2 linked regions of the Cricetulus griseus genome follow. The protein of the gene in region 1 binds, or shares a complex with, the protein of each later gene. Links are inferred from orthologs where the notes say so. Each region holds a gene or a part of one and is shown on either strand. Other genes may lie near its edges.

What was found.
Region 2: Taf1a (region 1) and Polr2k share a complex: the UniProt entries of both Homo sapiens proteins name them as parts of the pol I pre-initiation complex. The link is inferred for Cricetulus griseus from reciprocal best matches to the Homo sapiens genes TAF1A and POLR2K.

Annotation. Positions count from the first base shown.
Region 1 is NC_048598.1:11,100,401-11,105,223, reverse strand, and holds the start of Taf1a (TATA box-binding protein-associated factor RNA polymerase I subunit A), read left to right. Parts: upstream 1-1,382; 5' UTR 1,383-1,687; exon of another isoform or gene 1,688-2,041; intron 2,042-2,915; exon of another isoform or gene 2,916-2,925; 5' UTR 2,926-2,927; coding exon 2,928-3,051; intron 3,052-4,823. UniProt on the Homo sapiens protein: Component of the transcription factor SL1/TIF-IB complex, which is involved in the assembly of the PIC (pre-initiation complex) during RNA polymerase I-dependent transcription.
Region 2 is NC_048603.1:15,287,696-15,292,521, reverse strand, and holds the start of Polr2k (DNA-directed RNA polymerases I, II, and III subunit RPABC4), read left to right. Parts: upstream 1-1,366; 5' UTR 1,367-1,463; intron 1,464-2,538; 5' UTR 2,539-2,547; coding exon 2,548-2,608; intron 2,609-3,158; coding exon 3,159-3,251; intron 3,252-4,567; coding exon 4,568-4,590; 3' UTR 4,591-4,826. UniProt on the Homo sapiens protein: DNA-dependent RNA polymerase catalyzes the transcription of DNA into RNA using the four ribonucleoside triphosphates as substrates.

The sequences.
Region 1 (4,823 bases):
AGAGGAAGGTGGGTCTCTGTGAATCCAAGACTAGCCTGGTCTACAAGATCTAGTTCCAGGACAGGCTCCAAAGCTACACAGAGAAACCCTGTCTTGACCTCCCCCCCACCAAAAAAATACCCAAACAAACTGAAGGGACCAGCTCCCCATTTCGGCAGACATGACAGTAACACGTGCTTGCCATGACCTTGTCCTAGTCACTAGAAAGTCAGATGCCTGCCTGTGGCAAGGAACCAATCAGAAGTTAGCTGGTGGCGCTATGCTTTACGGCTCTGGGTGTGCTTTATGGACAAGTGCACAGCAATGGCTTGAAGAGCATGGCAACCACCCTGGGAGGGCCTATGGGCCATAACAACCAGTTGGCCAATCAACACAGGGCAAGCCCTCCAAGCCTGGAGGCACACCAATCCTGAGCCTGTGTGTACCCCTAGACACTCCCCTTATTGCTGCCCTATAAGATCTCTATGCAGACTCTTCGAGCTGTCTTTGCTATCCGAGCTCGTTAAACAATAAAGCCTTGTGCAGTTTGCAGCAAGCTTTCGAATCTGCCTGGTGATTAGGGTGACCACAGTCCTGGGCTGAGACCCTGGAGGCCTGAGGTTTTCCGGGGTTCTAACAAAACCAAACCAAAACAGGCTTAAGGGCAAGGAGTAATGATAGACCGGCTAATTTCCATGGAACTCAGACTCTTATTTTCAAGCAGTAAATTCGGAGTTTAGGAGGAATCCATTGCATCATTTATGCAGCCTTAACTATGAACTATTGTTTTTTTCCCAATGACTTTAAGGTTGCCTCCCTTTAGCTTTTACTCATTAATGCTTGTTCACATCTGTGTAATAATCTGCCCATTAACCGATCAGTCCTTCACAGAGTATTTTTCCAAACATCTCAGGCCAGTCTTCAGGGTCATCTTCCCTCGCAGCGTCCCCCTTCTCATACGACACTGCAATTCCACTATCCACCTCCATAATCAATACACGGCTGCCAATGTCCCTCTTGAGAGCGGACTCCAGGCCGATCGCCAGAACACTCCACGTTGATAAGCGAAACACGGACTCTTGCTCCAACTGTGAAGGCAGCAAGATGCTAAAAACTGTAATGAAAATAACTTTCAGAGCAGCAATCAGAATCGGCAATGCACCCCCTGGCCACACTCCGGTCTTGCGATGGGAACCTTCCAGTTTCTGGCTGGCACAGATCAAGGTGTAATCAGGGCCAAACCAAGGCGAAGGCGGAAGCTAACACCCACTTCCGGGTCAAGCCTCTTCTGGCGAGGCTCTTGGGCTCTCCCCCCAGGCCACGCCCGACGGAGGGCGGGGCTACGCAGCGCGCTACCCGAACGCCGGCCGGCTGGTTATGCGCAGGCTCACAGGAAGCGCTCGCTGAGGACTTCCGGAGAGGGTTTTCCCTGACAGCCCGCGGCGTGCGATCGGGCGAGCGTGGCGCCGGGGAGAGCTGTGTGAGCGCCCCGCGGTTCTGGGAGCGTCAGTTGCGGGCCGGGAGGTTTAGGTTACCGTGGCGGCGCCGCCGCCGCCAGTCTGAGGACTCGGGGCTCGCGTCAGGCGTCCGCAGCGTCCGTGGGGCCGACCTCACTGAATTGAGGCGTCGCTTCAGGCTTTGGCGCCCCACGGTGGAGTCGGCTTTCCTACAAGGCTTAGTGCGCGCTCGCGGGGCCGGCCGCCCCCAGGTGAGGTGGAGCAGCACCCCGGGGCTGGCCCTGCGCCCTCCCCGCGGCGCGGTGACTAACCACGCACCCTCAGCCTCCCGCGCCGCAGGGAGACGCTGCTGCCAGTCAGCAGGCTCGAGACCCGGGCCCGTCTCCAGCGTCGCGGAAAACACACACACACACACACACACACACACCAGCAGCGCCAGAGCACTCACCCTGGACCAGTCTGAAGGTGTCCGGAGCCAGGGTGGCGCCGTAGGATTGCAGAAAGGAGGGGCGTTTGGTGGAATTCTAAATCGCAGTACCCGAAGCTTCAATACCGGATAGGTACTCAGAACTGGGGTCTGCACCCTTTCGACAGTTCAATCCAAGGTCAGTGGCATATGGCTGCTTTTGTAGAGTCATTTATTTGCCATGGCCCCCTGCCCACCTCCTAGCCATTTTTTTGGTCACACCAGCTAGTCTGTGTGCTCTGCATTTGCTAGACTCCTGTCTTCACTCCTTTTGGTCATGTTACGTATTTTGTATAAGTCCTTCAGCCTTCCTTCCTTCCTTCCTTCCTTCCTTCCTTCCTTCCTTCCTTCCTTCCTTCCTCTGCCACCACCACCCAGCAAGTCCTACAGTTTTCATTACTAAGTGGGAGAGAATAGGGTTGCTGCTGCGATTAAATTAGATATTTTATAGTCTAAGTATGTAGTTAAGTCCCAGTAAATACTAGCTCCTGCTGTTACTGTACTTGCTATATTGTGTTATGTATTCTTCAGTTTCTTTATGTAGCTTTAGCTTTTTTACTTTGTAATTAAGGATGTCTCATTTTTGTATGTTCTTGGTTCAGAGCTTTGCAGTATTATGTTTTATGGATTTTAGAAACTTTTTATTTTACATGTGTGGGTGTGTGCCTGCATGTGTGTGCCTATGTTCTGTTGTGAAGGTGGTTGTATGCCCTGGGACTAGGGTTCCAGAAGATCATGAACATGGGTGCTGGGAACCAGCACAGGTCCTCTAGAAAAGCAGCAAGTGCTCTTCACTGCTGAGCCGTCTCTAGTCCCCAGACTTCTATTTTTAAAAAATGTGACTTGAGTTTAGGCTGTTGTTGACTTAAACAGATTCAGTGTTTCCTTGAAAAGAACTGTCAGATACAATGGGCCCTGCTGCTCAGGTGACTTTGCTACAAGAAAAGATTGCTTTTCAGCTCAAGTCAGGTGCCTGTGGGTTAACGTGTACTGACGCTAACTGATACTCTCAGTTTGGAATAGATATGAGCGATTTCGATGAAGAATTGACAAAGCTTGCTTTGGCAGAGGATGGCAAGAGAGAAACCTCTGTGTTCTCTAATCCAGGAATGCATTTCCCGTGGCTTCAGGAGCGAATAGAGACTGTAGGTAAGTGGGACAGCACTTTCACTTTAATGCAACTAAGTGTCGAGACTGAACACAGCTACAAAGTGAATGACCAAGCCAGGTCATTTTTCCTCCCCCTTAATTTCTGTTGTTGTTATTGTTGTTAGACAGGGTCTTGCTGTTTATCCCTGGCTTGCCTGGAACTCACTTCATGTAGCTCAGGCTGGTTTAGAACTCCTGGTTGTTCTTGCCTTAGTCTCCAGGTGCTAGGGTTACAGGTGTGAATCAGGGTGCCTAATATTGTAATAAGATTAGATGGGGGTTTCCCTTTTCTTTCTTACAGCTGGAGACAAAAAGGAAATTAGAAGAAGTAGCTTTTTTTTTTAAATTTTATTTTATTCTTTTGGTTTTTTAACACAGGGTTTCTCTGTGGCTTTGGAGGCTGTCCTGGAACTAGCTCTTGTAGACCAGGCTGGTCTCGAACTCACAGAGATCTGCCTGCCTCTGCCTCCTGAGTGCTGGGATTAAAGGCGTGCACCACCATGGCCTGGCCCTTTTTAAAAAATAATACACAGTCTATATTATGAACTACACATGTATAAATTTATATATATGAATATAGTTCTCTTTACTGAGCACTTGTATTTGGCATTGGCAGAATATTGGGGACGTACAGATGAAGAAAATGTGGTCTCATTGAGGAGCACATACATAGGAAATGTTAAGGAAATTTCTGTTGAGTTTAATGGAAATGGTTCCTTATAGCATTGATGTAATAGGTTTAAAAGGCATCTTTCTTCATTTTTAATCTAATGTAGATGCAGACAATGCTTTTAGTGGGTTAACGTCTATAGGACTATATGAAGAAGCCGTGGTGGAATGCTGCATGGGTCAGACCTTTAAATACACTTAAACCTGCACTTTTCTTATTACTCTCCATGCATTTCTTGGCTCCAAGAATTTAGCTCCCATTTAAAAAGAAAAATTCATTTAGTTTTATATTCCCAGTAATTTAGTCCTCAGTAAATGTGAGGACACTGAATTGCAAAGAAATTAAACTCGCCCCCCCTCCCCCAGGTTTCTCTGTGGCGAAATTAAACTCTTAAGTAATGATATAAGGAAGCAAATCAGGTCTGTCTGATCTCAAGTCCTGTACTTCTAAACATAAAGAGGTAGATGGAACTTGGCCTGAGAGCAGTCTTCTCTTAGGTGGATAAAGGCTATTTGAACAGATACTGTGCCAGTTTTGTGGGCTGGTTGCCTGGAATTGTGATCTAAGCAGCTTAGTAGCTCTTACTAAATGCAGTGATTGCTTCAGAGAGCCAGCTGAGGCATGAGAGGCTCCATCCCTTTCCTTCCCATCTTTCTCTCCTCTCCTTCTTTCTCTCTTTCTTTTCTCTGTTTCTAATTAGCTTTCAGATAATTCCAGTACTGCTGGTTTCACAACCTCTTTGAGTATTGAAGGCTGCAGATCCTGGTGTTTGTAGTGTGCATTAATTAGGTCTATGCTATAGTCTTCCCCCTCCAGGCCTCCTCAGGACAGGGTCTTGTTGATCAGCCTTGACTAGCCTGGAATTTGCTACACAGAGCAGGTTGGCCTCAAACTTGCAGCAATCCTCCTGCCTTTTTCATCTGATTGCTGGAGTGATAGTCATGCACCACCATGCCCTGCTGAGGGACTGTAGTCTTTATCATGTTTCTAACTTAGATGTCCCCTATGAAATATGTTCTGTGTACTGTCTTGCAGTACTTATAAACCTGACTTGACAGTCTTAAGGTGTCATATAGATTGTTTTGTGAGTTTAATAGTTGCA
Region 2 (4,826 bases), on another chromosome or scaffold:
CGAGGACCTTTTCAGGTCTCTGCTGGCACTAACACAGACAACTCAAAGTAACAACGAAATCTTAGCCGGGTGGTGGTGGCGCACACCTTTAATCCCAGCACTCAGGAGGCAGAGGCAGGCGGATCTCTGTGAGTTCGAGGCCAGCCTGGTCTCCAGAGTGAGTGCCAGGACAGACTCCAAAGCTACAGAGAAATCCTGTCTCGAAAAAACCAAAAACACAAAACAAAGAAACAACGAAATCTTAAAATCTCAGACGTCTAATGTAAGCCCCCTGGAAGCTCAGGCCTCCAGAATCCTTTCCCAGGACTGCGGCCATCCCAATCATCATGAGGAGTCGGAAACTTGATGCAAACAGCAAGAGGCTTTAATGAAAGGTAGACGTTTGTACGAAGGGGCTCTCTCAGCATGCAGGCTAGAGAGCAGCCCCGTCCCCCAGGCACAGGCCTTTTTAAAGGCAAAAACCACAAGCTTAGGGAGGGGTGTGACCAGAGTCACAGGTGCCTAAGAGACCCTTTGTCTTGAGGAGAGGGCTGGGAATCAGATGGCCTCCTGACCCACCAGCTGTAAAACCTGCAGACCTCAGGATATGCTTAGCTTGCTTGAGCAAATGGTACCTATCTCTTTGTTTCACAGGGACACTTAATTGTTAATGATTGACACATTGGCCGGTGGGGCAATCTGTTTTTTTCATGAGCCCCTCGGGGAGGGTGGCCATCTGGGAATTCTTGGTACCCAGTTATATTATGGCCTTGTAAGGGAGTAATTGCTTGCGGCTGGTAAATTCCAGGCCCTAAGTCCTAATAGTGGCCTTAGTTTCCGAGTTAGGCCGCCCTACATTCAGTTTGGAGAGTTTCCTTATCTGGGCTATATTTCTTTGCTAATTTTTAAGTCTTTCACTAGCAAGTGAGAAGCCACACCACCCTTTCTCTACAGCCGGGGCTTAGCCCGGCAGACACACCTGACCGCCCTAGGATTGGGGAGACTTTGTAGCGTGGCTGAGGGCGAGCGTTTAACAGGCTGCTGGGCTGTGTGCGGAGGAAGCAGCTCAAGCGACCGTTTTCCTGAAGATTCACCCCTGCGAGCCACCGAGCTAAGCCAACGGTCCTGAAAAAAAGTATTTTTAATTGACATCTCCGGGGCCTGGGGGAGAGCCGCGCGCTGAAGGGCAGCCAAACAAAAGAGAACCCTGTGCAAACGGCGACGAGCAAATGGCGACGAGCAAATGGCGACGAGCCCGAGTCTCGAACCCGCGACCGCCGCCGGAGCGAGAGCTGCTTTCGGCTTCCGCCGTCGCCTGTGCCCAGCCCGGGCTCTCGGCGGCGGAGGGGACGGGGCGGGGGCGGGGCTCCTGCGCGTCATTAGGCAGCGCCGGAAGCGCGCGGTCCGCGCCGGTAGTGAGTCCGTCACTGAGGACGCGGGGGAACGTTTGTGTGCGTACCGAGACTCTGCTTGGAGCCGCGGAGGTGAGAGATCGGTCTGAGGGCAAAAAAACTGGCTTTAGAAGGTTTTAGAAAGTTCCCGGGTGCCCGGGAGAGCTGGCTCCACGCCGCCTGGGCGCTCGGGAAACGGAGGCAGGGGACTGCCGCCTTCAGCAGACGGACGCCCGGGCTTTGGGGTTGGCTTGGGCGATGAAGTGAGTTCCGGGCCAGCCTGGGCTACCAAGTGGGGAGCCTCTCAAAGAGCCAAATAAACGTAAATAAATGGTCGGTGACTGGGCTGGAGGGGCGGCTCAGAGGTTAAGAGCGCCGATTGCTCCTCCAGAGGTCCCGGGTTCAATTCCCAGCACCCACATGGCAGCTCACAGCTGTCTGCAACTCCAGTTCCAGGGGACCTGACACCCTCACACCAACGCACATAAAATAAAATAAATTTAAAAAATGATTTATGACAAGATCCCCGGCGGAGTTAGCGGATTTTTGTGGGTTTTTTTTTTTTTTAGTTTATTTGTTGTTTGGTTTTTCGAGACAGGGTTTCTAAGTTTATTTTTATTTTTTGTGCATTGGGTATTTTGCATGGATGTCAGCTGGGTGCCCTGGAACTGGGGTTGCACACAGTTGTGAGCTGCTATGTGTGTGCTGGGAATTGAACTCAGGAGGAGCAACCGGTGCTCTTAACCTCTGAGCCATCTCTCCAGCCCCCCCCCCCTTTGCTTCTTAGTGTCGGGAGACGCTGGGCACACAGAGAGCTGTGCTTAGCCTCGGTTTCCCCGAGTGTAAAGAGTGATGCCCTCTGGCACCTTCAAGAGTGTCGTAGACCTTCGAGATGGATTCTGTGTTGTTGAGAATGTGTTTCCTCCTTCAGACCCAGCCCACAGTTGGTGGGGAAGGGGGGGTTTCAAATAAGGAATTATGATTTTTTTCCCCCTCATTCTGTAATACTGGGGTTTGATCCTCGAGCCGCTGTGTTCTGGGCAAACATTCTACACCTGAGATTTTCTCTTCACCCCGGAATCAGGACCTTGCGTAGCTGCTGGGGAAAAGGGAGCCTGGTTGGTTTTGTGTGATGATCTTGTTATTCAAGCTTTGGCTCTGATTTCAGGCACTAGCAATGGACGCGCAGAAAGACGTCCAACCCCCAAAGCAGCAGCCGATGATATATATTTGCGGAGGTAAGATTAACATTTAAGTAGGAACGTTTTTTGTTGTTGTTTTGGTTTTTTGGTTTGTTTGGCTTTTTTTTTTTTTTGCTTTTGTTTTGTTTTTTTGAAACAGGGTTTTTCTGTGGCTTTGGAGCCTATCCTGGAACTCACTCTGTACACCAGGCTGGTCTCCAACTCACAGAGATCCCCCTGCCTCTGCCTCCCTAGTGCTGGGATTAAAGGTATGTGCCACCAATGCCCTGCTTAAGTAGGAACATTTTACCTCAACTTTCCATATATGAGTACTGATCTTCAAAGTTATAAAGCGGAGCACTCAGGAGGCAGAGGCAGGGGGATCTCTGCGAGTTCAAGTGAAACACTTTAGCATCATTAATGTAAAAGTCCCTCGTTAAGATTTGTCTTTTCATCAGGAAAAGGTACGCTGCCGACAGCTCTTTTCTTTCCTCCTTGGTGTATTTAGTTTCGGGGCTTTGACTTGCTCTGGCGAAGTCTGTGGTTATATTTGGTTCCCTGTAGTGTTTCTCTTTCAGGCATTGACTGAACGTGTTTTATTCCCTAGAGTGTCACACGGAAAATGAAATAAAGTCCAGGGATCCAATCAGATGCAGAGAATGTGGATACAGAATAATGTACAAGAAAAGGACAAAAAGATGTATCCTTCTGACTGGGCTTTCTAAACGTAAAGAGGAATAACTAATACTCGGTTGATAAAGACCAAGTTCTGACAAAAGTAGCAACTTTTGGGTTGTTTATTTTTCTAAGCAGATTGAATGTGACTTTATTAATGAAGAGTTTATTAACTGAGAATGTGGGGGGCTCTGAAGGACGTAAATGTATATTATTTTAATATGAATTATTTTTCACCAAACTTGGAGAAAAGAGGCAGGCAGAGCTTTGTGAGTTCAAGGCCAGCTAGAACTACTAAGTGAGACTCAGTGTCAAAAAAAACAAATAGGGGCTAGAGAGACTCGTCAGCAGGCAGGTAAGGGCATCGGCTGTTCTTCCAGAGGACCTGTGTTCTGTTTCTAGCACCAACATAATTACTCATGATCCTCTGTAACTCCAGTTTCGGGGGTCTGATCCCTTTTTCCGACCTCCACCTGTACAAAGGACCCAAGTGTGTGTGTGTGTGTGTGTGTGTGTTTAAAAAACCCTGTAAGTGATTTTAGCTTTTATTTTACTTTTTTTTTTTTAGTTCAAATTAGAAACAAGCCTACTTCGATTGTCAATCCCTGCTCCCTCCTCTCTCTAGCCCTTCACCAACTCACCACATCATCCCCCCCTCTGCTCCCCAGGGAGGGTAAGGCCCTCCATGAGGTATCCCCAAAGTCTGTCATATCGTTTGGGATAGGGCCTAGACCCTCCCCCATGTGTCCAGGCTGAGAGAGCATCCCTCCACGTGGGATGGGCTCCCAAAGTCCTTTTGTACACCAGCTCTTTTTTTTTTAAGTAAACATGATTAGTGTTTTCGTGCCATTCATTATGGGCTCTAAGTAATTAAAAAATTAATCAATTTGGGTTTATGTAAATGTTTTTAGTTTTTTCAGGAATTCTTTGTTAGAAGTAGTCACTCTTGATTGTTAGCTTATGGGTAATCTAAAGTATGGGAGGAGAAATTAATAACCTAGTGGAAAATAGGCCTACAAATTAGTCCAAATACTGAAATTGTTTCAGTGTAACTGACACAGACTCTCAAAATCATCAGTGTTTCAGTGTTTTAAAATATCTTTTTCGTATTATCTTTTAAAATTTACCTATATTGTTATCTTCTGTGTAATAGAGAGTGAACTAATGAAAATGGAAGCTGAGTATTTTATTTTTTTAGATTATCTCCAGTGGCCATAATGAAGTTCAGTCTTTTGTTCGTTTTATATGAAACAGCAAGCTTGGTGCAGAGGTGGTGACTTGGAAGCCTCAGTTTTACATAGTTTTTATGTACTGTTTAAAATCCTTAACTCAGTCCAACAGTGGTGGTTTTTGATGCCCGATGAAGAGTGGGAATTCAGGAGTGTCTTCATTTGCCCCTTTGCTATTTCTCTTTATAGCTTTTGACCTAGCTTACTCACAACTACAACTGTGTACCTATGGTTTCATTTTAGAAATGTGATTGTATTTTAGTATCCTTTTGTATAAAGGAAATTTTGGTTTAACATACGGCTTTTTATTTTGCTTGTAATCTCTCACACAATGAAGATTAAAATTGTTTCCCCAAACCACACTTTTATTC